Anolis sagrei: one gene and its partners. The protein of the gene in region 1 interacts with the protein of each later gene in a pairwise test. Links are inferred from orthologs where the notes say so. Each region holds a gene or a part of one and is shown in the gene's direction. Other genes may lie near its edges. The genes, in order: DAZAP2, RBPMS, SQSTM1 and UBC.

Evidence for each region.
Region 2: the proteins of DAZAP2 (region 1) and RBPMS interact in binary tests that used the Homo sapiens proteins (3 or more experiments, as listed by UniProt). The two-hybrid records come from large-scale screens. The link is inferred for Anolis sagrei from reciprocal best matches to the Homo sapiens genes DAZAP2 and RBPMS.
Region 3: the proteins of DAZAP2 (region 1) and SQSTM1 interact in binary tests that used the Homo sapiens proteins (3 or more experiments, as listed by UniProt). The link is inferred for Anolis sagrei from reciprocal best matches to the Homo sapiens genes DAZAP2 and SQSTM1.
Region 4: the proteins of DAZAP2 (region 1) and UBC interact in binary tests that used the Homo sapiens proteins (3 or more experiments, as listed by UniProt). The two-hybrid records come from large-scale screens. The link is inferred for Anolis sagrei from reciprocal best matches to the Homo sapiens genes DAZAP2 and UBC.

What each region holds. Positions count from the first base shown.
Region 1 is NC_090022.1:192,268,749-192,276,763, forward strand, and holds the start of DAZAP2 (DAZ-associated protein 2), read left to right. Parts: upstream 1-5,003; 5' UTR 5,004-5,186; coding exon 5,187-5,199; intron 5,200-8,015. UniProt on the Homo sapiens protein: In unstressed cells, promotes SIAH1-mediated polyubiquitination and degradation of the serine/threonine-protein kinase HIPK2, probably by acting as a loading factor that potentiates complex formation between HIPK2 and ubiquitin ligase SIAH1.
Region 2 is NC_090022.1:150,009,294-150,016,750, forward strand, and holds the start of RBPMS (RNA-binding protein with multiple splicing), read left to right. Parts: upstream 1-4,437; 5' UTR 4,438-4,841; coding exon 4,842-4,904; intron 4,905-7,457.
Region 3 is NC_090022.1:86,649,222-86,656,948, reverse strand, and holds the start of SQSTM1 (sequestosome-1), read left to right. Parts: upstream 1-4,720; 5' UTR 4,721-4,807; coding exon 4,808-4,994; intron 4,995-7,727. UniProt on the Homo sapiens protein: Molecular adapter required for selective macroautophagy (aggrephagy) by acting as a bridge between polyubiquitinated proteins and autophagosomes.
Region 4 is NC_090031.1:29,395,902-29,403,523, forward strand, and holds the start of UBC (polyubiquitin-C), read left to right. Parts: upstream 1-4,602; 5' UTR 4,603-4,726; intron 4,727-7,622.

The sequences.
Region 1 (8,015 bases):
GGCTGCAACAAGAGGAAAAAAAAGGCAGCCAGGGGCAGCAGCGATCACCACTCCCTCTTTCCGCTATGATAACATCCAAGAGGGTAGGCTTTAAAATAACTAACATAACCTAAAGCCGATGCCAAAATAACTAACAAAGCATTAGTTCAATGCTAATGAGCAGAGCTCTTTGACTGGTGTAAGTTTAACAGCCTCAAGGCTTAATTAAACTTAAAATATATTTGCAGGGTCTCTGTTCTTTCCATTGATCTCTTATGCATGAATTTGGACGCTCGCTTGTTTCTTTTCCAAAGCACAGCTCCTCAGCAGAGAAATGTAATGCCTGAGAGGCTAATGATAGTTCCCCAACTCATTTTTATCTCCCAAGAGAACTGTTGTTCGTCTCGGTGAAACCAAAATTAAATGGCCATTTCCTTAATGTTGTCAGAGAAGGGGATTGGCTCCATTACATGGACCAGCGGGTATTAAGCAGTATATGGAAATGTAGTCCTAGAGTGCATTTAGACTGTAGTCTGATAGCACTCAAACTGCTATGACTCAATGGTATGAAATCCTAGGAGTTGTAATTTAGTGAGACACCAGTATTATTTGGCAGGCAGGACTAAAAATCCTTTAAAACTGCTACACCTATAGCACTGAGTCATAGCAGTAAAAGTGAGGTAAACTGCATTCATTCTACAATGTAGATGCTGCCTTTAAAAGAACTTTTGGCCCATGGCCACATTTAGCTGATGGATAACTACTGGTTGATATTCTACAGACCAACATGGAGTTGGATCTGGGAAATCAACCCCATATCAGACATGTAGCTCTTGGGCAGATCACCTCTGCTTCATAGGGTTGCTAGAAGGATGAAACACAGCACAGAGATCTAAGAATTCAATATCAAGAATTTGAAAAAGTCAGTTTGATAACCCTTACCAGATGCTTCATAGGTGGCACAAGGAGAGTCAATATATAATCAAACACTCGTTTCATTTAAAGCCTTGAATTAGGAATAGTGGTTCCTTAGCACCCTATGCAGCTTATCCTTTCAGATTTTTGTGTCTGTCCAATTCTCCAATATTTCAACTTCAGAATGTGGAGTTGTGATTGCTCTATAGTACTGTGTCTTAAATTATCAGTTTCAACCCCAAATGGCTCAACACAAAAATATAACAAGAGAAAAAGGTTTCTGAACACCACCCGTTTACATAAATCTCTTCGCAACAATATGCAGTGTTTACAGTTGACTCTGCAGAAAATGCTTCTGCTGTATCCATAAAAAGGAAAATCAGCCTGTTTAGCAAGCCTTACAAATGCTGATTTGCTATCAGTAAATGTTCGATATTTATATCTGTTATGTTTTATCTACCTATATACCCACAGTCACACAAAAAGTGGTCACAAGTTATAATGAGAGTTGTAGTTTAATGAGGCACCTGCATTCTTTGGCAGATCAGTCCAAACATCATATAAAACCATGACTCCCACAATTCCACAGCATTGGGATATGGCAGTTAATGTGGTATTGAACTACCTTAATTCTAAAGTTTAGATGCACCCTAGGATAAATATGTAGGATCACACCAAAAGAAAAATTTTGAAAAACACATTTTGTAAACCACATTTTACAGTTGCCATTTCCGTTGTATGCTTTGCATTTTAGACTGCATCATTTGGGTTGTATGCGTGTTTGTTCCTACTCCTATTTACATAAAATACATAAATATGTAAAACTACAAACCTATGCAAAATAGGTGTTGACTCCACTGTTATTACTGCATCAAAGTGAGCCCAGACAGCACACCTGGCTGGAAACACTTTCCTAGAAGAAAAACAGCCAAAATGAAACATTCCTTTCATCAAACCAACAAAACGAAAGGTAATAGCATCACACTGTTCAATAGAAGAGTAAGTAAAAGAGATAAAAAAGAAAAAGAAAAAAAAAGGGGGGGGGGGGAATCAAAGCATTACAGTATTGGCATTATTTGTTTTTACCAACAGTTTAAATATTTCTTTCTCAAATCAAAATTTCTGTCTTGACTTTTCTTAAGACTATAAGAATAGGAATCATAGATTAAAACATAGTGTGTGTGGGGGGGGGGGGGGGGGGGAGTTGTACTGTACAATGTGAAGTCCTCATGACATATTGTCATTCTGTTGGGAGAACCATCCAAGATAGATCCACCCTCTGATGCCAAAGGTGCATCTACACTGTAAAAATTGATGCAGTTTGACACTACTTCAACTGCCATGTCTCAGTGCTGAATATCAAGCAAAAAGTGGGTGCTAGAAATAATATCATACGAAAGCTGACTGGCACAACCTGGGGATCACCACCAGACACAGTGGTAGAAGAAGATAAACACGCACTGGCAGATAAACTATGCTGCTGAGTACGCATGCCCAGTGTGGAACACATCTCACCATGCAAAAACAGTGGATGTGGCTCTTAATGAGACATGCCACATTATCACAGGATATCTACACCCCACACCACTGGATAAATTATACTGTTTAGCCAGTATTGCACCACTTGACATCCGCCGAGAAGTAGCAGCCAATAATGAAAGGACCAAGGCAGTGACATATTCGACCCATGCTCTGTTTGGATATCACACAGCACACCAATGCTTTAAATCAAGAAATGTTTTCTAAGATCTACAGAGATACTCACAGGAACACCTCAGCAAGTGAGAGTCCAAAAGTGGCAGGCTAAAACCTGAAACCTCAACTCATTGCTGATACCAAATGGGAGACTCCCCCCCCCCCCCCGGGCACACAGAAAAATGGGTGACTTGGAAAGCACTGAACAGACTGCGCTCTGGCACCACGAGATGCAGAGCCAACCTTAAGAAATGGGGCCACACAGTGGAGCCCATGACATGCAAGTGTGGAGAAGAGCAAACCACAGACCACTGATCACAATGCAGCCTGAGCCCTGCCACATGCTCAATAGAGGACCTCCTTATAGCAACACCAGAGGCATTCCAGAGGCATTCCAAGTGGCCAGCTCCTGGTCAAAGGACATTTAATATTTGCCAAGTTTTAAAACTTTGTGTGTGTGTTTTTTAAAATACATTACAGTTGTACCCTTGGTTTGCTTCTGATATGATAAATAAATAGTGCTATTGAATCTTGGGAGTTGTAGTTTTACAATGTCATTGGCACTCTCTGCCAAAGAATGCCGGTGTAATGGTAAAAAAATGCAAGGATAACACCGAGTCTTCTAAAGTGGAAAAAAAACCACAGGATTTTATTTATAGCTTAAAAGAAAACAGCAGCAAACAGTGCTAAAAACAATGCGATATAGGATTTAACACTTTAAAAAGACATTTTACAACCCATTCCAAAGCGTATTTACTCGAGGCCAATGGATTTTGCAGTGGGTCTTATGATGTAATTTGATGAAGCACACTCTTCAGCAGAGAAGGCTGCAAGTGTTATAGAAGTGGGTTGTTGTAGGTTTTTTCGGGCTATAGGGCCATGTTCTAGAGGCATTTTTCCCTGACATTTCGCCTGCATCTATGGCAAGCATCCTCAGAGGTAGTGAGGTCTATTGGAACTAGGAAAGTGGGTTTATATATCTGTGGAAAGACCCGGTGGGGCAAAGAACTCTTGTCTGTTGGAGCTAGGTGTGAATGTTTCAACTGACCATCTTGATTAGCATTTGATGGCCTGGCAGTGGCTGGGGAAATCTTTTGTTGAGAGGTGATTAGGTGTGCCTGATTGTTTCCCATCTGTCATAGAAGTCTCCAAAATAGCAGAGTATTTAACAATGCAAAACGGGATACTTAACTGAGCAGTTAGCTCACAGCAATCAGAAGGTGCAGTGTTGTGGCTGTAAAAGAATTCTTGAGCTATGGAGGCAAAGATGCAAAGTTCAGTCCCTAAACTTGGGCCCTCCTGGTGTTTTGGACTTCAACTCCTACAATTCCTAAAAGCCTCAGGACCTCCCCCCCCCCCCCCCTTATCTGCTTAATTTGAGGCTGTTTGGAATTGTGGGAGTTTAAGTCCAAAATACCAGGAGGGCCCAAGTTTGCCCAGGCCTGGCCTAGCCTAATGCTATCTAGTTGCTTCTCATTGCCGATCCATCTCAGAGCCCAATTCAAAGTGCTGGTCTTGACCTATAAAGCTCTATACGGTTCTGGCCCAGTTTACTTGTCCGAACGCATCCACCCCTACGTCCCACCTCGTAATCCGAACGCATCCACCCCTATGTCCCACCTCGTGATCTAAGATCATCCGGGGAGGCCCTGCTCTCGCTCCCGTCACCAGTGCAAATGCGTCTGGCAGGGATGAGAGACAGGGCCTTCTCGGCTGTGGCCCCCCACCTATGGAACACACTCCCAAATGAGGTAAGATCCGCTCCCTCCCTCCTGGCTTTTAGAAAAAAAAATTAAAATCATGGTTTTGGGACCAGGCCTTCGGGCAGCAGAAGTAAATGTATGCAGCATTTCAGGAAGACAATGACTGGAATGGCGATTTGACGAACAAGACTGTTTATTGTTTTAATGATTGTTTTATTGCTTATGGATGTATGGTTTTAATTTGATTTATGTTTTGTAGTGTATAATTGTAATTGTTTGTACTGGCATTGAATTTTGCCATTACTTATGTGTAAATCGCTTTGAGTCCCCCTCGGGGTGAGAAAGGCGGTATACAAATACTGTAAACAAACAAACAAACAAATAAATAAATTGAGGACTGCAGACTTGAGCAGTGTGTGGTTGAATTCAAACAGAAAGACCTTGTAAAATTATAACTCCCACGCTCCCATGGTAGTTCAAAGTGGCACCAAGGTGCATTCATTCTGCAAGGTTGGGACGTCGGCCAAGCCATGGCAATTGGGAATGAGGGCTTGCACAAGAGTGGCGGCCTCCCACCCAAGCGAGAGCCAGCGCCGACCCTGCTTAGCTTTCGAGGCGCCTGTGCGTCCCTCAGCGCCGGAGGCCACGCCCCCTACCTGACCACGCCCCCTGACCCTGCCGGCCACTCTCGGCGTCCCATTCCCCTCAGCGGCGTCGCGGCGTGACGTCAGACGTCTCGACGTAACCCCTCTCCTCAGGGCTGCAGCGACAACAACAAGGAAGTGATTGAGCGAGGAGAGCCGTCCCTGCCGCCGCCGCCGAAAGCAGGAGTTGCCGGAACCGTCGCCGTGCCAGCCCGCCTTTTCCCTCCGCGCCTTTCTCGACGCCGCCACCATGAACAGCAAAGGTAAGCCAGGCAGGCCCCTTGCCCTTCCAACCCCACCCAGTCCCCGCTCACCTTTCGCAAGGGCGCTGTCCCTTTAAGGCTGGCGCCGCAGTCCCGTTATCTGCGGGCCTTGGACGTAACGGGCGGGAGCCCTGGCCAATGAGAGGCCTCGGGAAGCCGGGGTGAGGGGGTGGGGGGAAGGGCGGGTGTTCGGTTGCTATGACGCAACGCCTCTGCTCAGGACAGTTAACCCTTCCAGTGTGAGGGCCTTCCTGGCCTCGCTTCCTGGGGATCCCGAGGCACCGTCACGACTCAGGGGGTTGACTGAAGGCAGAGCGGATGCCTGCCCTCATTCTACAATTCAAGTCCGCCTGAAAGCTTTGGATGTGGATGAAGGGAGGAGGACTGAGGTTGGGGCCTTGAAAAGGGAAGAGGAGGATCCCGAAACTGCCTCTGTTCCCACCAAATGTAGATGGAGCTCAGTAGGGGCTTGTATTTCAGAGGAAGGAACGGGCAAAATCACCTCTTTAGTATCCCTTGCCTCAGGAAACACTATGACATAAACAGGGATTGCCATAAGACAGTGGTTTTCAACCTGGGGTCCCCAGATGTTTTTGGCCTACAACTCCCAGAAATCCTAACAGCTGGTAAACTAGCTGGGATTTCTGGGAGTTGTGGGCCAAAAACATCTGGGGACCCCAGGTTGAAAACCACTGCCATAAGACAACAGGCAAGGCGCTTGAAGGCACACAAACGCATAGGAAATAAAGCAAAACATAATAGCCTGCAAGGCCTCAGCCATAGGAAAAATGGAGAATGGGGGTTATGATCACAAAACTATCCTGTCCAGACTTATATCAGAAAATCCCAAATCTGTAATGATTTAGGCCAGTGGTTCTCAACCTGTGGGTCCCCAGATGCTTTGGCCTTCAGGTCCCAGAAATTGCAACAGCTGGTAAACTGGCTGGGATTTCCCCAAGTGTTGTGGCCTACAACTCTCAGAAACCCCAGCCAGTTTACCAGCTGTTAGGATTTCTGGGAGCTGAAGGCGAAAACACCTGGGGACCCACAGGTTGAGAACTCTTGATTTAGGCTCCTTCTACACTGCCGTCTGTTATCCAGATTATCTGCTTTGGACTGGATTATATGGCAGTGTAGACTCATATAGTCCAGTTCAAGGCAGATAATATGTATTCTCTGATTTAAGAATCTGGATTATATGGCAGTGTAGAAGGACCCTTACTCTACCAAGCAATCCCCTATCCCAGCGTTTCTCAACCTGGGGGTCGGGACCCTGGGGGGGGTTGTCAGAGGGGTCACCGAAGACCATCAGAAAACACAGTATTTTCTGTTGATCATGGGGGTTCTGTGTGGGAAGTTTGGCCCATTTCTATCGTCTGTGGGGTTCAGAATGCTTTTTGATTGTAGGTGAACAATAAATCCCAGCAAGCACAACTCCTAAATGTCAAGGTCTATTTTCCCTAAATCCACCAGTGTTCACATTTGGGCATATTGAGTATTCATGCCAAGTTTGGTCCAGATCCATTATTGTTTGAGTCAATAGTGCTATCTGGATGTTGGTGAACTACAACTCAAGGTCCATGCCCACCAAACCCTTCCAGTATTTTCTGTTGGTCATGGGAGTTCTGTGTACCAAGTTTGGTTCAATTCAATCATTGGTGGAGTTCAGAATGCTCTTTGATTGTAGCTCAACTAAAATTCCCAGAAACTACAACTCCCAAATGACAAAATCAGTCCCTGCCCCTCAAGCCCACCATTATTCAAATTTGGGTGTATCGGGTATTTGTGCCAAATTTGGTGCAGTGAATGTAGATATATCCTGCATATTAGATGTTTATGTGACGATTCATAACAGTAGCAAAATGACAGTTATGAAGTAGCAACGAAAATAATTTTATGGTTGGGGGTCACCACCACATGAGGAACTGTATTAAGGGGTCGTGGCATTAGGAAGGTTGAGAACCACCTACCTATTGTAATTTTGACTCATAGTTAAGAAACATATGAAGCAACAGGAAGTGAGAGAAATTTACCCCCAGGAAGGGAAATTCACTACAGGGGGAAAAGGTGTCCCCACTAAAGTTTTATCGCTGATCCTTGTTTCCACCACAACCCTATATTTTCAAAATCCAATTGACAGGGGTAGAAAATTAGGTGAAATCTTCCAAACAAGGGCACAGACAGCAAAACAAATCTTTCAGGAGTGTTAACCTTTATGCAAACCAAAACATATATATGCATGTATTTCTTTAAGTGGCTGGAGTTACAGTTTAAAAATGCACCTGTTCCTACTTAAAGACTAATTCAACTTACAAACTTACAGAACCTATATTGTCTGCAACTTGGGGACTGCCTGAATGTGATTCTAACCTATATGACATCACAAATCCAAAGAGATGGAACCTATGTGATAATGGGTGTTGTAGACTATATCCTGCCACTGAATGCCTAAACCAGGGGTCCTCAAACTTTTTAAACAGAGGGCCAGGTCACAGTCCCTCAAACTGTTGGAGGGACGGATTATAATTTGAAAAAAAATATGAATAAATTCCTATGCACACTGCACATATCTTATTTGTAGTGCAAAAACCACTTAAAAATACAATAATTAAAATGAAGAACAGTTTTAACACATATAAATTTATTAGTATTTCAATGGGAAGTGAGGCCCTGCTTTTGGCTGATGTGATAGGGATGTTGTTGTGTGCTTTCAAGTTGTTACAGACTTAGGTTGACCCTGAGTGAGGGCCAGGTAAATGACCTTGGAGGGCCGCATCTGGCCACCGGGCCTTAGTTTGAGGTTCCCTGGCCTAAAC
Region 2 (7,457 bases), about 42 Mb from region 1:
CTCAGTAAGTTCAACCAGGTGCTAGGGTTACAATCTGGGTAGGTCTTAATGGTGTGATATTTCTTTCCTCCTGAAAACTATTAAGATAAGGTTACCAAGCTTAAACGTTTAAATAGAACTGGGGGTGGCAAAACAGTAATGAAAGAGGAAATCTTGTCATGGGAAAAAGATATGAGACTAGCGCTGAATCTACACTGTAGAATTAATGCAGTTTGATACCACTTTAAGTTTTCATGGCTCAATGCTATTGAATCCTGGAAAGTGTAGTTTGTGAGGCAGCAGTACTCTCCAGCATAGAAGGCTAAAGCTCCTTGTAGAACTACAGTTCCCAAGATTCCATACAATTGTACACTGGTAGTTAGAGTGGTGTTAAAGTGCATGAATTCTGCCAGATGCACCCCAGGAATGGTTTTAGGGATCTCTCTCCATATATAGCTTCTCCTCTGCAATAAACTCACTTGAATTTCCCAAAAGTTTAGACTGGGAAGGAAGTGACTGGTTTCGCATGGTCTTTCAAATTGAGGACATACATTTCCAGATAGAAGGCAGTCCCAACAGGGGTTGGCTTGACATGCCTTCCTTTTGACACGTTTCTTCCTTTCGCCCTCCATTCGTGCCCCTTCAAATTCCACAGCACTGTTAGTTACAGCTGACCTCCAGTTAGACGTTCAAGAGCCAAAGCTTCCCAGATTCAGTGTTTATACCAAATTTTAAAGGTCATCTTTAAGCCCATCTTCAAATCTCTTTTGCTATCTACCTGACATTCCGTTTACGTTCTGAAACTAAGAGTAAAGTAGCAGCCTTGAGAGACGGTGATCGGGGATTCAGACAATGTGGTCGGTCCAGCAAATTTGATGGCGAAGGATCATGGCTTCAATGCTGGTGGTCTTTGCTTCTTCCAGAATACTGATGTTTGTACATCCATCTTCCCAAGAGATTTGCAGGATTTTTTGGAGGCAAAGCTGAGGCAATATTCTAGAAGTCAAGAGTGATGTTTGCAGATAGCTTTCGGGAGGAGTTGAAACTCCCCCCTCCCACCCTGCCCACATGACTTTTCAGATCAGTATCAACTGATCTGGTAGATTTTAAAAAGGCTCTGAAATTACCATCATTATGCAAAGGTTCTTCATGGTTTTCTTCTTCTTCTTTTTCGTGTCAGGAGCGACCTGAGAAACTGCAAGTTGCTTCTGGTGTGAGAGAATTGGCCGTCTGTAAGGACATTGCCCAGGAGACGCCTGGATGTTCTGATGTTTTTATCATCCTTGTGGGAGGCTTCTGTCATGACCCCGCATGGGGAGCTGGAGCTGACGGAGGGAGCTCATGAGTGCTCTCCCCAGATTTGAACCTGCGACCTGTTGATCTTCAGTCCTGCCAGCACAAGGGTTTAACTCACTGCACCACTGGGGACTTCACAGGTAATAGGTCCTGAATCTTTCTCCCTCTTGTCGGTCACAAAGGACAATAGTTTCCAAAATTGGCAGAAGTTTTTTTCTGTTTTTTTTTTCTGCTTTCTTCTTATTTCCTTTGTCGTGATGACGGTTTACGTCAAGATATTTTACCGTGAATTAGCAAGACATTTTCAGCCAAGCACAAGTTTTTCTGATGGTACTCTTCAGTTTCCACAGTTTTTACCTGCAATCCAGGTCAAATCCTCCTCCCTGTCCCGTGCCTTAGGCTTTGCCTGCTGGCTACCACATTTTGGCAGCTTCCACTATGTCAGCTATTACTGCTATTGCAATGTAAATTGGTAGAAAGGCAGGCAATGATAGTGTGAATCATCTAAATTTGGTTGAGAGAGTGCTTGTAGCTCTGGAGGAACTCTAATTGTTGCTTCTCATAGGCTTGGCATGGGGATTTAGTTAACCAGTAAAAATTCATGAGCAAACCAGTGTTTTGTTTTATTTTTGATCTGACAAATTTCAGGGAGGGTGTTGAATCCCTAAACTGCCCCCTTGGCTACAAGCTTGGACGGTCCATGTATCGCATATAATTGAGTTGTAAAGACCATAGTCTCATATCAATATATATCAATATATATCTATATCTATCTATCAATCATTATCAATACACATAATAAAAGTGAAAATCTGTATGTATGAGGCTGGGGTGCCCACTTTCACAGACAGGCTCCCGCCTCCATCAACAGCTATAACCCCCACCTATGAAGCGAACACCAAAGACCCTCCCTCACTGACATTGCAGGTTATAGCGATTGCCATAAACATGTCCAAAGAGCCCTGCCAATGTCCTCCACAAACACCACACTGCCCACCACCCAAGTGAAGGCTTTAATTCAGGGACAATTTCATCCTAGATTTTCTGTTTTTCCTCCGCCAAACACACCTCTTGGGGTGTCTGGGAATGATTTACGCCCCCTGGATTATCCTTTCTCCCTCTCTGAAAATCATGTTCCACAAAACATTTCCATGCGTTCATATCTTTTCCCTCCGCTTCATGTTTTCCTAGGCTAAAAGTGCCTCAACTTTCTCTTCCCCTCTCTTCCCCCTGCCAAGGGGGCCCCCAGCATCCCCATTGCTCCTTATAACATAGACAGTCAAAATCCTGTCTTGCCCCTATAGCTAAGGCTCTCTCTCTCTCTCTCTCTTTCACTCTGCACAGTCCCTCAACAACCCTTTTCTTCTTTCCTGGTCCATCTCCCTCCCCTCCCCAAATGCATGTGTGTGAATCTTTTAATGGCCCCTCTAACTGCCTTTAAATATGAGAAGGGCACTGTAGGGTCCAGGGGACCTCCCGGCACAGCTGAAATGAACCAGAAGACCACCTGACAAGGGACATCAGATCAGACTGGATCCAGGATCCATAATCCACTCCTGCCACTGTGGACAGCTACCTGGGTGGTGAGTCTGCGGGAGCTCTGCGGGTTTTCTCATGTGGCAGCTGGAACTCAGATGGCACAGGAGGATCCCAGAAGGGCAGGACCAGACCTCCAGCCACCCAGAAGAGACAGCCCCCCCTTGAGGCTGGGGAAGGCCATCACAGGAGAGGCCCCAGGAAGAGAAAACAGGATCCTACAGTGACCGCCATGAAGGAAGGATGTCCTGCCTTTGCCAGAGCTGTGCAAAGGGATGGCCCCAGGACCCCTGGAGCCCTCACTAGGTATGAAAGCTTTCCCCTCTCTCCCTACTAACCATCATAAATCAGTTAAAAACAATTAAAAACAGTAGCATAATAAACAGTCAATATAAATAAATAAAACATCTCATTAGCATCTCATAATAAAAATCAAGATCCAGTCTCATCATTCATTTGTTCCATATTCCTATGTTCGTTACACTGCCTATTCAAATGCCTGCTCAAACAACCAGGTCTTCAGTTATTTCCCAGTTGTCAATCATTCTTGTTGCCATAATCTTGGTTTTTTTACGTTTAGCTGCAACCCAGCTTTTGCGCTTTCTTCTTTCACCTTGATTAGAAGGCTCCTCAGCTCCTCCTCGCTTTCAGCCATGAAAGAGGTATCATCTGCATATCTAAGGTTGTTAATGTTTCTTCCAGCAGTTTTAACCCCAGCCTTGCATTCGTCAAGCCCGCACATGGCATTTTTTTCTTTTTGTCGTGTCAGGAGCAGGTTGAGAAACTGCAAGTTGCTTCTGGTGTGAGAGAATTGGCCATCTGCAAGGACGTTGCCCAGGGGACGCCTGGATGATTTGATGTTTTTATCATCCTTGTGGGAGTCTTCTCTCATGTCCCCGTATGAGGAGCTGGAGCTGATAGAGGGAGCTCATCCGCCTCTCCCCGGATTTGAACCTGCGAACTGTCTGTCTTCAGTCCTGCCGGCACAGGGGTTTAACCCACTGCGCCACCGCACATGGCATGAATGAATGGGAATGGAGATGTTGTTGTTCATTCGTTCAGTCGTCTCCGACTCTTCGTGACCTCATGGACCAGCCCACGCCAGAGCTCCCTGTCCGCCATCACCACCCCCAGCTCCTTCAAGGTCAGTCCAGTCACTTCAAGGATGCCATCCATCCACCTTGCCCTTGGTCGGCCTCTCTTCCTTTTGCCTTCCACTTTCCCCAGCATCATTCCCTTCTCTAGGCTTTGCTGTTTCCTCATGATGTGGCCAAAGTACTTCAGCTTTGTCTCTAGTATCCTTCCCTCCAGTGAGCAGTCAGGCTTTATTTCTTGAAGTATGGACTGGTTGGATCTTCTCACAGTCCAAGGCACTCTCAGCACTTTCCTCCAGCACCACAGCTCAAAAGCATCGATCTTCCTTCGCTCAGCCTTCCCTAAGGTCCAGCTCTCACATCCGTAGGTTACTACAGGGAATACCATGGCTTTGACTAGGCGGATCTTTGTTGCCAGTCTGATGTCTCTACTCTTTACTATTTTATGGAGACTGGACATTGCTCTCCTCCCAAGAAGGAAGCGTCTTCTGGAGATCGTGCTGCTTTATTGTGTAGACGTGCAGACGCCTGTCAAGCTTGGCAGGGGCAAGAGAGGGTAGCCAGCAGGCCAAGGCAGTGGAAGCCTCGACGGTTGAGCTTTGGCGCCGCCTCCTCCCCTCACGTGCCGCGGCGGGGGGTCTCGCGCTTCCCTGCCCTCCTTTCTCGCGCCGTCGAGGGCGCCGCCTCTCCGCCAATCAGAGCCGGGCGCGCGCGGAGACAGGGTGGGGTGGGGGGCTGCGCGCGCCCTCCTCTCTCCTCTCTTCTTCCCCTCAGCTCATTCCTTCTTCGCCTCAGAGGGAGACGGAGGTCTTATCTCGCTGCCTTCGCCGCCCCGCTTCCTCCCCGGAGCAGCCCCTGTATGCGGCTGGAAGAGCTGCGGGCGGCCAGGGCGAGTGCCCCAGCCCAGGAGAAGGAGGAGAGGGAGAGGAGGAGACCATGAACAGCGCGAAAGGCGAGCAGGAGCCCACTCCGCCGGAGCCCAGCCTGACCGAGGAAGAGGTACCCTTCCTGTGGGGAAAGTTGGAGGGCGCTTTCGGGGGCGTCTCTGTGGCTCGCGCAGCTCGGGAGGAGAGCGATTGCGCAACGCCGCTCCCGAAAGTTAAGGCTGGAAGGGAAGAAGGAAGGAAGGGAAGGAAAGAGCCAGGCGCCTCTGTTGTTGTTTCCCTACAAGGAAGGCGATGGCAGGGAGGGAGGGAAACAACAACAGAGGCGCCTGGCTCTTTCCTTCCCTTCCTTCCTTCTTCCCTTCCAGCCTTAACTTTCGGGAAACTTTTGTTTCCCTCCCTCCCTGCCATCGCCTTCCTTGTAGGGAAACAACAACAAGAAGGACGCCCGGTAATCGATAACGCATCCAGCACATTCTTTCCCTATTAGAATCCGATTTAGATCCAGGGGAAAAGGGTGGGAATCCAAAGCACAGGCTTTGAAAAGGGTGCGCCTCTACACTGTAGCATGAATGCGTATTGACACCGCTTGATCTGCTTCGTCTTTTTCATGGCGAAGGGGAGTTTGTGAAACTTTTTGTCGCGTCGTCCGGCGCCCTTCCACACAGCCCTATATGTATCCCAGAATATCAAGGCAGGAAATGCCACAGTAGCTGCTTTGAACTGGGTTATCTGAGTCCACACTCAGATAATGTGGGATTTTCTGCCTTGATATTCTGGGATATCCCCCCCCCCCCGTCACCCTGTATATATTTCTGTGCTTTGATGGCTTCATAGCAGTCGAATAGTTGGGTTGCTGTGAGTTTTCCGGCCTGTATGGCCATGTTCCAGAAGCATTCTCTCCTGACGTTTCGCCCACATCCATGGCAGGCATCCTTAGAGGGTTGTGAGTTGAATAGTTTGTGAATTTGTATTTGCTGAGCCTGTGGAAACCGATGGAAGTTCAACACTCAGGACCCTTCCACACAGCCATGTAACCCAGAATATCAAGGCAGAAAATCCCACAAGATCTGCTTTCAGCTGGGTTATCAGAGGGCCCTTCCACACAGCCATATAACCCAGAATATCAAGGCAGAAAACCCCACAAAATCTACTTTGGAACTGGGTTATCAGAGGGCTCTTCCACACAGCCATATCAAGGCAGAACATCCCACAAAATCTACTTTGGAACTGGGTTATCTGAGGGCCCTTCCACACAGCCCTGTAACCCAGAATATCAAGGCAGAAAACTCTACGATATCTACTTTGAACTGCATTATCTCAGTCTGCACTCAGATATTGTGGGATTTTCTGCCTTGATATTCTGGGGTATAGGGCTGTGTGGAAGGGCCCTGAGTCCACACTGACATATAACCCAATTCAAAGCTGATAATGTGGGATTTTATTCAGCTGTATAGTAGGGGCCTTGGACCACCTCTACTTCCATATAACCCAGTTTCTGAATCCAGATTATCTACTTTGGAGTGGATTATATGGCAGTATTAACTCGTATATATAATTCAGTTCAAAGCAGATAATCTCAATTCAGAAACAGGATTATATGGTGGTTTAGAGTGAGCCAGTAGGATCTGATGCGGAAGGTAGTTTGGGAGTGAAGTCACCTTTTCCTATAGGACCACATTGGAGGGATCAAGAAAGATAGCTATGCCAGGCATGGGCACTCTTGGGCCCTCCAGGGGGTTTGGACTACGATTCCCACTATTTCTAACAGCCTCAGGCCCTTTCCTTTTCCCTCTCAGCTGCTTGAGCCCAAAACTCAGCATAGCCTGGGCATGGGCAGATTTGGGCCCTCCTTTCCCCCTCAACTTAAGTGGCTGGGGGAAAAAAAGGAGGGCCCAAATTTGCCCATGCCTGGGCTATGCTGAGTTTTGGGACTCATTTTGGAGTATAGTGAAAGCAGCAGGATAACAAATCAGTTAAGAGTTGGTGCCAAACTGTGCTATCTTACTGGCACAAATAGCACTTTTATGGAACAACAGGGAGAAAAACATTTCCTGATGCTCCAGATTTGTCTTGCCTGTATTTTGGGGGGGGGGGGGGGGGGATGGGACCCTGATATGTAAGATTTATTCATTCTCGTCCCTTTGGGTAAGAGTGTAACGCTGTATTTCTTCAATACTAAAAAGCACTTTCCCCCCTATATAAACAGATCTAAAAATGGGATGTGCCTTAGAATTACAGGATATACAATCTCCAAGTTAGAAACATCCGACTTATATACGACTCATAGTTACAATTGGGGTTGAGACAACAGGAAGTGGAGAAATCTATCCATACGAAGGGATATCCACTCTTGTCATGGGGAAAAGTTGTCTCCACTGAAGCTTTATCACCAAAAATAACAACCAGAACAACTTTATTCTTATATCCCGCTACCATCTCCCCAAAGGGACTTTGGGGAGATGGTACAGGAAGCACAAAGTGCCTAAAAACAAAACATAAAAGTGTGAGCACAATATAAAACACAGTAAAATAAAACACATGCACATATAAAAACATCAACTCAGACTCAGTCAAACTGCGGTCCTCTAACCATGGCAGTAAATTGCTGTAAACACGGCCAAGCTGTAAACATTAGGAATCAAATAAGTGCCAGCTGCAGTAATGG
Region 3 (7,727 bases), about 110 Mb from region 1:
AAAAACCCTTTCTTCTTATGCCACCTGAGGGCAAATCAAGAAAGGAGGGCAAATCAAAAATGGTGAACTTGGAAGTCCCTGAATGGACTTAGAAGTGGAGTGGGCAGATCAAAAGACAACCTGGCAAAATGGAACTACCTAAAAGATTCTTCCACCTTGTGCGACTGTGGAGCAGACCAAACAATTCTGCATTTATATGCTTGTCCACAATGCCCTGCCTCACGCACAGAGGAAGAATTGTTTAAAGCTACAGACAATACGGTCGTTACTGCCCAGTTTTGATCAAAAATTATGTAGTCACTTGTGCTCCTTCTATTTTTATCAGTTTTAAACTTATGTATGCAATGCTTTTGGTGTTAAATAAATAAATACTGGAATTCTAAGAGCTCGCATGGTATTGTGATTTCAATGTTGGAAGACTAAAGACCTCGTAAAACTGCAAAACCCAGGATTCCAAACTGGCTCAGCACTGCATAGAATGACTATAGACTGCACATCACCCAAAGTGCCAGTAATGTCCCTGTATTGCTAAGGAATAAAAGAAAAGAAGAAGGCCATCAGCATGAAATAGAAACCTGGCCTCCTCATTATCAGCTTTCAGTTTCCCCAAGGGTTCAGGCAGCATCTTTTGTGAGCTACATCTCTTTCAAACCATCTTGAGATGCAGGCCAACTGTATCTGAGCAACGCACAGTCTGCAAAATGTCATAGCTAATGTCAGTAATGTTTTCACTGCCATCTGGTTCGGTTTTAGAAGAGCATGTCCAGAAGAACACACAGATTAGATTCAGCTAACAAAGACTTACAATACATGAAAACAAAAGGAATCTCCATTAAGGCAACATATAAATGTCTCTTCCTACAATATGTTGTTGTTTTATTTTTGCAAACAGGTCTAAAAAAACCCCCTTAGTATCAACATCAAATGTCAGCTGCTAGAGGGGGTCCAAAAGACAAATCATTCCCAGGTGTGCCCGATCTTATTTCTAAAAATATAATACTGCCATTTGGAACAGTAAGCAAATGTGCATTAATCCACTCATTTGCAACTCCTGCTCTATGGCTCGCTAAAGATGATGGCTTGCTCTATTTGTTCCTGTTACATCTACGCATGTTTTCTTAGAAGCAGAACTCACTGAACTGAAAGAATGGTTGTGTAATCATTTATAATTACTTAATATCTTTGAATTGAATATTTATTTTCAGCCTATTTCAATTTCAGAGTAGAATGCAATGTAAAATTATCAGCACCTCTTACCAAAACTTTGAAAGAATGAATACATTGGGGATCATATAGTATAGTGCTTCTCAACCTGTGGGTTCCCGGGTGTTTTGGCCTAAAACTCCCAGAAATCCCAGCCAATTTACCAGCTATTGGGATTTCTGGGAGTTGAAGGCCAAAAACATCTGGGGACCCACAGGTTGAGAATCACTGATATGTACATATACTGTACAATGTACATATAGAAGATCAGTGATCTGAATTTTTCCACCTTTGTACATAGGTTGGCCTGTGTGAGCTTCTATTGATGATATGAGGACATCCAACAGAATCACCTATTCATCATTTTAATTTAATACCTTCCTAACAATCTTTCCTCCCATTAAATTCCTTTATTTATGTAGTTGTTAACTGGGTGTGTGTATACACACACACAAATACATATATCGAATATATGTGTATAAATATCATATGTATATACACAGAAATGAACCTGGTTGCTTCTAACAAAGCGTACTTCCTTATCAGGGGGCATGGACTGTAACTTCATACAGGCAGCCCCCAAGTTACAGACAGGATACGTTCTGTAGGTTTGTTCTTAAGTTGAATTTCTATGGAACAGCTAAATGGTGTTTGTTTTGCTGTCTGTGCCCCTGTTCTGAGTTTACCACACTTTCTGTCACTGTGATAATTGGCTTTCAAAACCTCCGGTATGCTGTGGAAACAAGGATTGGTGAGAAAGCTTCTGTGGATACCAATTTTCCCCCTGATAACTCTTTCGGGAGTGAATTTCCTTCCTGACGGGCAGATTCCTCTCACTTCCTATTGTCTCACCTCCATTCTTAACTATGAGTTGTTTGAAATTTAGATGTTTGTGACTTGGGGGCTGCCTGCAACGGTCATCCTGAGCCACCATAATGAAGTGATTTGAGGGTTGGAGTATGACTCTGGGCTCCTTCTCAACTGGGTTCGTTCCCCTTTGGCAGGCTTCAGCAGATAATATAACAAACAGCAAACTTATCGTTTTGGAGTTCAGAAACCTCTGGAAAGAGAATGGACAAAGTTCATGTGTTCGAAAGGGAACTCTATCCAGGTAACAGGACAGCAGGTAACTAATGATCTTCTATGAGCCAGTGTGTGTAATGGTTTTGAAATTTGACTAGGAGTCCCCAGTGGGGCAATGGGTTGAATCCTTATGCCAGCAGAACTGCGGACCAAAAGGTTGGCGGTTTGAATCTGGGCAGTGGAGTGAGCTCCCATCTGTTAGCTCCAGCTTTCCATGCAGGGACATGAAAGAAGCCTCCCACATTTGGGCTGGGGAGCAGAGTGAGCTCCTGCCTGTCAGATCCAGCTTCCAATGTGGTGACATAAGAGCCCTTCCACAGGATGGTAACACATCCGGGTATTCCCTGGGCAACGTTCTTGCAGATGGCCAATTCTCTCACACCATAAGCAACTTGAAGTTTCTCAAGTTGCCCCTGAGATGGAAAAAAATATCATTGGACTGATTCTGGAAACAAGGGTTTGTATCCATACTCAGACATGTAAATAATATTACTTCTGGGAAACATCAGTGGGGCAGCAGGTTAAACTGCTGAGCTGCTAAACTTGCTGATTGAAAGGTTGGTGGTTCGAATCCAGGGAGCTGGGCCCAGTTTCTGCCAACCTAGCAGTTCGAAAACATGCAAATGTGAGTAGATCAATAGATAAGGGAAGTTAATGGCACTCCATGCAGTCATGCTGGCCACAGACCTTGGAGGCGTCTAGGGATAATACTGGCTCTTCTACTTAGAAATGGAGATGAGCTGTAACCTCCAGAAGCAGACATGATTCAACTTAATGTCAAGGGAAAGCTTTACCTTTACCTTATGTGTATATACAGTAGTCTATACATCCCATGTAGACTACTGCAATGCTCTCTACGTGGGGTTGCCTTTGAAGATGGTCTGGAAGCTTCAACTAGCCCAACAAACAGCAGCCAGGTTGCTAACAGGAAAGGCGCTCAGGAAGCATGCAACCCTCTTGTTGCGCCAGCTCCACTAGCTGCCGGTTTGCTACCAGGCCCAACTCAAAGTGCTGGCTTTGGCCTATAAAGCCCTAAACGGTTCTGGCTCAACTTACCTGTCCGAACGTGTCTCCCCTTACGAATCATTGGGGACTCTAAGATCGTCTGGGGACTCTAAGATTGCTCTCGGTCCCGCCTTCGTCTATAGTACATTTGGCGGGGATGAGAGACAGGGCCTTCTCAGTGGTGGCCCCTTGGCTATGGAACACCCTCCCTATGGAGATTAGATCTGCTTCCTCCCTCTTAACGTTTCAGAGGCAAGTTAAAACATGGCTGTTCGAGCAAGAGTTTACAAATGCAGAGTAGCTAATATAGGAAAGATTTGACAATGGAACTGGACAATGCTTGATAATAATGAGACGCTAATGATTTTTATTGCTTTTGTGGTTATTTATATTGTTTAATGTTTTTATCTGTATTATGTTTTTATATGTACTGATTTGTTGGAAACCTCCTTGAGTCGCCGATTGGCTGAGAAGGGTGGTATACAAATACAATACATAAATAAATAAATAAATAAATATGGTGTATACAAAACATAAACGAATCCTGGTCTCAAAACATCCTGGTCTCCATCTGGTTCCTATGTAAACACTTGCACAGTGAAACTGTTTTCATCAATACTGGTTTGAAACAGCACTAAATGGTCAGTGTTGATGTGTCCTGATGCAGTTTGGGGCCAGTTTTGCCCACCTGGGTGTGATTCAGGAGGGGCTGGTGAGTCCTGGGACCCTTCTGCCCTTCTGGGCCCGACACCTGAAGGGAAAGGTGGGGCCAGGCAGGGCAGCCAGGTGCCTTTTGAGGCCTACCTACCTTTTCACTGGAAGCAAGGCGCAGTGAGTCAGCAATTGGACAAAAAGAGGCGGCGCCTGCCTCGGGAGGCTCCAGGGAGGCGGCAGGGCAAAGTTCGCCCTTGTTTCCCCCGCAGGGCTTGGAGAACTAGAAGGTGCTGAGTAACGCTGACAAGGGGGCTTTCAACCCCCTTTCCCAAGCCCAGGCCACGCGTTTCTATGTTTCCACCTCCTTCCTTGTTGTTGATACATTGTCATTCTTCATTTTCGGCATGGGCCAACTTGGGCCTTCCTCCAGGTGTTTTGGACTTCAACTCCCACAATTCCTAACAGCCGGTAGGCTGTTAGGAATTGTGGGAGTTGAAGTCCAAAACACCTGGAGGAAGGCCCAAGCTGGCCCATGCCTGGTGTAGAAGGGGCTCTGCCTCCTCCCTCCCTTTTGCAAACAAAAACAAACCAAACTCTCTTTCTGGAAACTGCCAGGCTCTTCAGTGGCGTGATGTCTCTCCACTTGGCCTTGCGTCACCCTCCCTCCCTCCCTCTCTCTCTCCCTCCTTCCCTGCCTGTTCCTTGGCCCGTCCTCCCCAGGCAGGGGCTTTCCCAGCCTCCGCCCGCCCCTCCGCTGCCCGCCTATAAGAGGAGCCGCGGGGCGGGCGGCAAGGCGCAGAGGCAGTCCCCGCTGGAGCCCAGGGCAGAGAGAAAGCCGGTCCGGAGGAATTCCTGCTGCGCCATGGCCCCGCTGACGGTGAAGGCCTACCTGTTAGGCAAGGAAGAGGTGACCCGCGAGATCCGCCGCTTCGCCCTCGACAGGCCGCCCCGCTTCCAGCCCATCCGCGACAAGGTGGCCGAGCTCTTCCAAGGCCTGCTCCGAAATGCCAGCCCCGGACCCGCCGGCGCCTTCCAGATGTACTACAAGGGTGAGTCAAGGAATGTGGGAGCCCCCAGGGGACATCCAGCCCCGACCCGCCACAATCGAAACATTCCCGACAGATGGCCACCCGGCCTCAGATTAGAAGGCCCCCAGGGAAGGAGGTGCTCTCCCTGGCATCCCATTGTCAAGGGATGCTCAACCGGCCCCATCCTGGCACCATCAAAACACTCCCGACAGATGGCCATCCAGCCTCTGAATAGAAGGCCCCCAGGGAAGGAGGTGCTCTCCCTGGCATCCTGTTGTCAAGGGATGCTCAACCGGCCCCATCCTGGCACCATCAAAACACTCCCGACAGATGGCCATCCAGCCTCTGAATAGAAGGCCCCCTCTGAATAGAAGGGAAGGAGGTGCTCTCCCTGGCATCCTGTTGTCAAGGGATGCTCAACCGGCCCCATCCTGGCACCATCAAAACACTCCCGACAGATGGCCATCCAGCCTCTGAATAGAAGGCCCCCAGGGAAGGAGGTGCTCTCCCTGGCATCCTGTTGTCAAGGGATGCTCAACTAGCCTTACTAAATACAACAAGGGGCTGCCAACCCTAGAATCGAGCCATAGAAGGGACCTCTAATCTGACCCCATCCCGCCACAATTGAAGCACTTCCGACAGATGGCCATGCAGCCTCTGAATAGAAGGCCCCCAGGGAAGGAAGTGCTCTCCCTGGCATCCCATTGTCAAGGGATGTTCGACCGGCCCCATCCCGGCACAATCAAAACATTCCTGACAGATGGCCATCCAGCCTCAGATTAGAAGGCCCCCAGGGAAGGAGATGCTCTCCCTGGGATCTCATTGTCAAGGGATGCTCATCCGGCCCCATCCTGACACAATGGAAACATTCCCGACAGATGGCCATCTAGCCTCTGATTAGAAGGTGCTCTCCCTGGCATCCTGTTGTCAAGGGATGCTCAACTGGCCCCACTAAATACAGCAAGGGACTGCCAACCCTAGAATTGAGCCATAGAAGGGACCCCTAATCCCACACAAAGAAGTTGGCAACCCCATCCCACCACAATCAAAGCACTCCTGACAGATGGCCATCATGCCTCTGATTAGAAGGCTCCCAAGGAAGGAGATGATCTGGCATCCCATTGTTATGGGATTCACAACCAGTCCCACTAAATAAATATAGCAAGGGACTGCCAACCCTAGAATCGAGCCATAGAGATGGAAGGGATCCCAATGGCCACCCAGTCCATTCAGTAACACCCAACCAAAGCACTCCCAACAGATGGCCACTTAGGCCCCTTCTGCACTGTCCTTATATCCCAGGATCCGATCCCAGGTTGTCTGCTTGGAGTCTACACTGCCATATAATCTGGGATGTATAAAAGGATATAAAATCTCCAGGGAAAGGGATGCCTTCCCTGGCAGCGCACTCCATTGTTAAACAGCTCATACCATTAGGAAGCTATTCCTAATTTTTAAGTGGGATCTTTTCCCTGCAATTTGAATCCATTGCTCTGTGTACTAATCCCCCCCCCCCACCTTGCTGTGACATTCTTTCCAAGGTCTAAGCCACTCCATGTTCCCTCTCAGCCTTCTTTTCTCCAAGGTAAACATTGCTCCACCTCACCAGCTGGGCTTTTGCTTTGTGAAGTGGCAGATCAAGGTCCAGGAAGAAGGCGGCGGCAGCTAGAAATTATTGCTTTTCCTGCCAGATATGGTTTTGGGAGGGGGTGGGTTGAATGTCCAGAAGCACTGTGTAACTCGTGGCTAAGGGCCCTTCCAGACTGACCCTATATTCCAGGATCTGATTTCAGGTTTTCTGTTTATCCCAGATTATCTGGCAGTGTGGACTCCTATAATCCAGTTTAAAGCAGAAAACCTGGGATCGGATCCTGGGATACAGGGCCTGTCTGAAAGGACCCTACTTGGCCCCTAAGTACCCTAGATTTTGTCTGACCTTGGAAGCTAAGCAGGTTCAGGACTGGTTAGTTCTTGGATGGGGGGCTGCCAACCAATACATGCTGTAGATTATATTCCAGAGGAATTGGCCAAACTAGATTACTCTTCATGTAAGAAAGCCAGTGTAGTGTAGTACTCTGAGTATTGGACTAGGACTCTGGAGAATAGTCTCTCTCTGAACAAACCGTGCCAAGAAAACCCCATGATAGATTTGCTTTAGGGCCGCCACCTGCGACTTGGAGGCTCACCACAACAAGAAGAAATCCCAGAGATACTCACGGGATCACCATAAGTCAATGTGCTACAGGCACGCAGCAAGCAGTGGCAACTCATCTGGTATTAGGCTTTAGTGACAAGGTTATATGGTGGGAAGCATTCTCTTACTGAGTGTTTGTGTCGAGAAGCAGTTAAAAATCCAGTGCCTTTGCACACAAAGAAGTTGGCAACCCCAGCTGGATATTCTGTACTAATGTGGAACAGGTGTCACAGCCTAGTTTAATACTAATTTAAAACAGTGGTCAGTCTCTTGAACTAAAGGCCCAGATCTGCTTGGAAATGGCAGTCTGCCACCTAAAAGCTTGCCAGTGGAGACTGGCTCTAGCAGTTGGTTTAGAAAGGTCTTCTGCTCATGTTCAGAGGTAATACTTGCACAGGTTACAACTTACAGGGTTATGAAGTGGCATTAAAAACAATTACGGGCCATGGCCTGTTCCGCTTCCTAACAATGTGTGCATAACCCACATCGTGCCTCTCCTTGTAAATGCGATCCTGCAGCGAATAACAGAAATGTGTGGGGTGGACCTAGTTGCTGGAGGC
Region 4 (7,622 bases), on another chromosome or scaffold:
ACAATAGTCTGAGAATTGAACTATATTATTATTATTATTATTATTAAACTAAGAATAGTCTGAGCATTGAACTATATTATATTAGTATGATTATTATTAAACTAAGTAGAGAATAGTCTGAACAGTGGACTATATTATTCTTCTTCTTCTTACTATTCCTATTATAAAATTAAGATGACAATAGTCTGAGAATTGGACTATATTATTATTATGATTAGACTAAGAAGACAATAGTCTGGGCATTGGACTATATTATTATTATTATTATTAAGCTAAGGAGACTATAGTCTGAACATTGAACTATATTATTATTATTATTATTATTATTATTATTATATAACTAAGAAGCAAATAGCCTGAACATTGGACTATATTATTATTATTATTATTATTATTATTATTAAGCTAAGAAGATAATAGTCTGAGCATTGGACTCTATTATTATTATTATTATTAATTATTATTATATAAATAGACAATAGTCTGAGCATTGGACTCTATTATTATTATTATTATTAATTATTATTATATAAATAGACAATAGTCTGAGCATTGGACTATATTATTATTATTATTATTATTATTAATTATTATTATATAAATAGACAATAGTCTGAGCATTGGACTATATTATTATTATTATTATTATTATATAACTAAGAAGAAAATAGCCTGAACATTGGACTATATTATTATTATTATTATATTATTATTATTATTATTATTATTATTATTAAGCTAAGAAGATAATAGTCTGAGCATTGGACTATATTATTATTATTATATAAATAGACAATAGTCTGAGTATTGGACTATATTATTATCATCATTATACAAGTAGACAATAAATCTGAGAATTGGACTATATTATTATTAGGTCTCCCAAAGGGACAAAAGGGCAATGTATATACTACTGCTACTGCTACTACTACTACTAATAATAATAATAATAATAATAATAATAATTTTATTTCTTTCCCACCTCACTTCGTGGCTCGAGGCGAGTGACAACATAGCTAAAAACATCGTTATATAAATCGTTATATAAAGTGCACAGATATACATATATTAAAACATACAGAACAATTATTAAAATAGAGCAGACACAAGGCACGGGTTTAAAATTCATTATTAGAACTTTTGAATACAAATTTACCCTTTTTTTTTACAATGTTACAGAAGGCCAAGGGCTCCAGAAGGGAAATGGAGGGCAACATTGTAACCCAAAAGGAAATGGAGACAAAGGCAACATATGGCTTCTTTGTCTTCCTACAAAAAGTGAAACAAAGGGAAGGTGAAATCTTAACACAACCAATCTTCAGTTCTTGTGGGTTTTTTCGGGCTATATGGCCATGTTCTAGAGGCATTTCTCCTGACGTTTCGCCTGCATCTATGGCAAGCATCCTCAGAGGTCTTGCCATAGATGCAGGCGAAACGTCAGGAGAAATGCCTCTAGAACATGGCCATATAGCCCGAAAAAACCCACAAGAACTGAGTGATTCCGGCCATGAAAGCCTTCGACAATACACAACCAATCTTCTTTGGAAGCATTAAGACTATTCTATCCTTGTCCCTGACTGTAAGCAGAGTCCCCATCTGCCCTTCTGGGAAACTGAAATTCACCAACGCCATCAAAGCCAGTCATGCGATCGCAGGTTTTCTGCCAACGTTGCAATAATAACGTCAGCTGCTGTTTGCTTTTCCATTTGTTGCCCACAATCTGCAAGAGGAAAGAGAATACGTTGAATGCTCCAGAGCTAATAACTGAATGTTCTGGAATTTTCCCATTTAAACAGACAGGGATACGCTCTCAACCCACTGTGGAATATATAGTTTAATAAACAACAACAACAGCAATAATAATAATAATAATAATAGTAAAGTAACATTAGTAAAGTGATGTTTTTTTTGGATGCATGCAATGGCTCTAAAGCTACATTTCTCAAAGTGAATATACCACTTTCTTCTTTTAGTGGAGAGTCATAGATAATAATAATAATAATAATAATAATAATAATAATAATAATAATAATAATAATTTAGGAAGTGTCTGATGTGTGATCCAAGCATAGTGATCATGTTTGCTGTGTACTAATCTTGTTGTGTTTCTAATAATAACAACTGCTGCCCAGACTATTGTCTATTTAGTAATATAACAATATTAATATTAATATAGTTCCATGCTCTGAATATTGTCTACTTATACATTAATATTAATATAATTAAATGCTCAGAATATTGTCTACTTAGTTGTATAATAATAATAATAATGATAAATTGCTTAGAATACTGTTTATTTAGTTATATAATAATAATATAGGTCAATGCTCAGAATATTTTCTACTTAATTATATAATAATATATAATAATACTAAATAATTATATTATTATTATAATAATACTAATAATAATGTCCAATGCTCATACTATTGTTTATTTCTCTAACATTATATATACGGGTTAATATGTGGCCTATTTGGGAGGCCTTTTGTAACATTATAAATAAGGGTTAATACGTGGCCTTTTTGCCCCTTTGGGAGTCCTAGACCTTCTGCAGCCATCTATTATTATTATTATTATTATTATTATAGTAAATAAGTATTATTATTATTACTATTATTTCTCTCATGAATTTATTACTGGATTTATTTCATTATTATTATTGTTATTATTATTATCTTTTATTATTTATATTATATTATTATAGTAAGTAAGTATGATTATTATTTCCCTCCTGAATTTTATTATTATTATTATTTCCCTCCTGGATTTATTACTGGATTTATTTCATTATTATTATTATTATTATCATCATCATCTATTATTATTATTTATATTATATTATTATAGTAAGTAAATATTATTGTGGCGCAGTGGGTTAAAGCACTGAGCTGCTGAGCTTGTTGATCGAAAGGTCGCAGGTTCGATTCCGGGGAGCGGCGTGAGCTTCCGCTGTCAGCCCTAGCTTCTGCCAACCTAGCAGTTCGAAAACATGCAAATGTGAGTAGATAAATAGGTACCGCTCCAGCGGGAAGGTAAGGGCGCTCCATGCAGTCATGCCGGCCACATGACGTTGGAAGTGTCTATGGACAACGCTGGCTCTTCGGCTTAGAAATGGAGATAAGCACCACACCCCAGAGTCAGACATGACTGGACTTAATGTCAGGGGACTACCTTTACCTTTTTAAAAGTATTATTATTATTATTATTATTATTATTTCCCTCCTGAATTCATTATTATTATTACTACTATTATTTCCCTCCTGAATTTATTACTGGATTTATTTCATTATTATTATCTATTATTATTATTTATATTATATTATTATAGTAAGTATTATTATTATTTCCCTCCTGAATTCATTATTATTATTTCCATCCTGAATTTATGACTGGATTTATATTATTATTATTATTATTATTATTATTATTATTATTATAGTATTATTATTATTTCCCTCCTAAATTCATTATTATTATTATTATTATTATTATTATTATTTCCCTCCTGAATTTATTACTGGATTTATTTCATTATTGTTATTATTATTATCTATTATTATTTATACTATATTATTATAGTATTATTATTATTTCCCTCCTGAATTTATTATTATTATTACTGGATTTATTTCATTATTATTATTGTTATTATTATTATTATTATTATTAATATTATATTATTATAGTAAGTATTATTATTATTATTATTATTATTTCCCTCCTGAGTTTATTACTGGATTCATTTCATTATTATTGTTATTATTATTATCTATTATTATTATTTATATTATATTATTATATATTATATATTATTATTATTTCCCTCCTGAATTTATGACTGGATTTATTTCATTATCATTATTATTATTATCTATTATTATTTATATTATATTATATTATTATAGTAAGTATTATTATTATTTCCCTCCTGAATTTATTATTATTATTATTACTATTATTTCCCTCCTGAATTTATGACTGGATTTATTCAAAATCCTGAGGGAACTGTTTTTCCCGCCAAAATTTCCCCCCTGAAATTGTTTTCCCCCCTCACCCCACTCTTTCTTCCTCTTTCTGCGCATGTGCAGAACCATCCCTATTTCTCCCTCCTAATCTGTTCTGCCTTAGCAACAGGGTGACGTCAAAGCGGACCAATCAGCGGGCGGATTCCACCCTCCCCCTCCTCCCTCACCCCTCCCTTTCGTCCGCTCGTATTCCATCTTGCTCCTTCCAGAGCTTTCCAGTCCTTGAGCCTTTCACGCTCCAGCCAATCAGAGCGCACATAGTTCCTTTCCCGACCAATCGTGAACCGAGCAGCTCCGTAAGTCCCGCCTCTTCTTTCTCTCTCGCTTTGGTCGAATGAAGCATTCGTTTCAAGTATCCTTCCGCGCTTTGTTTCAATATTCCCCTTTTTAAAAACACAACGAGTCATAAGGAACCGTCAACGATCCTTGTAATGTCTAAGGGGAAATAAACACTCCTGTGGAGATATAATAGCGCGTTTCAGCGTTTCGAATTGAGGGACTCTTTTGTTCCCTTCTGGCGGAAGGTTATCGGCGTGACGTAAAAAGGGGCGTGGCTTAGACTATAAATACGCGGGCGCCGTTGGCGGGTGACATTAGACGGGCGGGCTTCGGAGGTGCATTGACTCATTTGTGTGAGGAACGAGAACACGATCGAGTTCGGCCTACAATTTTTGGAGGGGGAGACGCTTCAAGGAGTGGTAAGGAATCCGAATGAGGGAAGGGGAGGATTTGACTCAAATTGACTATGCAAATTTATGCAAATTTCGATATTGGAGTAAGGCCTCCATGGCGACGGCGGGCGCTTATTGTGCTGTTCGCCCTCAAGGAAAAGCGTCATGGCGGCCCATTATGGCGGCGGAGAGGCCTTTGGTGACGAGGCCGGCCTGGCCTTGCCTTTCCCGCGGGGATGGGGCGGCCTTGGCACGGAGCGGGGCGAGCGGGACGGTGAGGCCGCCACAGCTTAGGCCTTGGCCCGCCTCTCGAAGTAATCATGGCCGCCGGGAAGGAGGAGGCTCTGGACGTCGCTTGAGGCGCCAGAGAAGGACAAGATGGCGGCCAGGGGGGAGGGGGAGGAGGGAAGGGGCGGGGCTTCACGTGTGACGTCACAGGCCTACCCATTCGAGGCTTTCCAGGCAGCCCCCTAGCGGCCATTTCTAATAGACTCTCGGGGCATTTGATTGACAAGCCCTGGGCAAACTTAGGCCTTCCCTCTGGACTTCAACTCCCAGCATTCCTAACAGCTCCAGGCCCCTTCCCTTCCCCCCTCATTTACTTAAACTGAAGTCCAAAAACATCTGAAGGGCCCAAGTTTACCCGTAAGTGGCTGAGGGGGGAAAAGGAAGAGGCCTGAGGCTGTTAAGAATGCTGGGAGTTGAAATCCAAAACACCTAGAGGACCCAAGTTTGCCCATGCCTGCCCTAAACAGGCCCTCAAATTCCTTCACTTAGTAAATGAAGGAATTTGAGGGCCTGTTTAGGGCAGGCACGATTTTGGACTTCAACTCCCAGCATTCCTAACAGCCTTAGTTAAACTGAAGTCCAAAAACATCTGAAGGACCCAAGTTTGCTCGTAAGTGGCTGAGGGGGAAAAGGAAGAGGCCTGAGGCTGTTAGGAATGCTGGGAGTTGAAGTCGAAAATATGCCTGCCCTTGCTATAGAGCAGTGGTTCTCAACCTGTGGGCCCCCAGGTGTTTTTGGCTTTGAACTCCCAGAAATCCTAACAGCTGGTAAACTGGCTGGGATTTCTGGGAGTTGTAGGCCAAAAACACCTCGTGATCCAGGGTTGAGAACCACTGCTATAGAGGTTGATGCCACTGTAACTGCCATGGAGTTGAAGTCCAAAACACTAGAGGACCCAAGTTTGCCCGTGCCTGCCCTAAACAGGTCCTCAAATTCCTTCACTTACTATAGAGCAGGTTCTTAGCCTGTGGGTCCCCAGGTGTTTTTGGCCTTCAACTCCCAGAAATCCTAACAGCTGGTAAACTGGCTGGGATTTCTTGGCCAAAACACCTGGGGACCCACAGGTTGAGAACCAATCAACAATGTACATCGTAATAATAATAATATAGTCCAATGCTCAGAATACTGTGTATTTAGATGTAATCATAATACAGTCCAATGCTCGGAATATTGTCTACTTAGTTATATCATAATAATAACGATATAGTTCAATGCTCAGTACATTGTCTACTTAGTTATATTATAATTATATAGTCCAATGCTCAGAATATTTTCTACTTAGTTATATAATAATACAATGCTCCATGCAGTCATGCTGGCCACATGACCTTGGAGGTGTCTACGGACAATGCTGGCTCTTCGGGTTAGAAACAGTGATGAGCACCAACCCTCATAGTCGGATAGGACTGGATTTAATGTCGGGAAAACCAATCAACAACAACCTATATAGTAATAATATAGTTCAATGCTCAGATTATTGTCTACTTAGTTATACAAATTCCTTCACTTACTGTAGTCTCTCTCCCCCCAAATGGTGTGTGTGTGTATATATATATATATCCCTCCAACCTTATTTAAGCTCCTGCACTTTAGTTTGGCCCTCATTCCTGTAACCTCGACACTAATGGCATTGCACTTTCCCTCTGCTCTACTTAGGAACCATTGCACTGACTTTGAGCCCACCCACTTCCAAACCCAGCATTGATTTTTGTTCAGCCATGATATTGCTTTTATGATATTGCTCTGTGATTGTGATATGTTTTTATTTGATTGCTGTTTGTTGATTTTATTTTAATGTGCCTGTTTTAATCTATAATTTTTGTCCCTTTGTAAGGTGCCCCGAGTCCCCTTGGGGAGATAGAGACAGGGTATAAAAATAATGTTATTATTTCTATATTCTATACAGATTTTAACAGCTTAACTGTTTGTTGTGTTGTTTATGAGGCCTCACTTGAGTTGTATGTTACATCTTTTAGCCAAGGTTGTTCAACTGTTTTTTTTCTCAAATGTTTGCTTGAATTGTTTTGATTTGTTAATAGGGGGCGTAGCATTAAATGTTTGCCATCTTTTGTTTTTTGCTGCCCTGAGTATTTGGGGGGAGAGGGCAGATTAAAAATAAAGATTATTATTTATTACGAAACTTCCATATCGCCTTTCTCGGTTTATGACAACAGCCTAGTCAAGTTGACTTTATTTCTGTTTATATTGAAACATTTATATTCCGCCCTTCTCACCCTGCAGGTGACTCTGTGTAGAGCACAACATATATATAGCAAATATTCAATGCTAGGACATAAAACTATTTTTATACCCTGCCTGAGGAGGACTTGGGATGGCTTACATGGGGACCAAGCCTGGGCAACACAGTTAAAATGTAACACATTAAAATACAAAACAATATAACAAAATAAAACAACATTAAGTAATGTATAAAAGGCATTGGAACCAACAATCAGTAAACAATTCTATTTATCATTAGAGAAGGTACCATTTCTAAACAGTTTTAAGTGTTGCCTGTCTCTGAGCCGAGTGGAGAGGAGTGTTTTGCTACTTGATCTTGGGAGTCTATCTGGCTTGTATGGAAAGTGTCTCAAGTATCCAGGTTAAAACCAGCACCTTAAATTGGGTCCAGAAA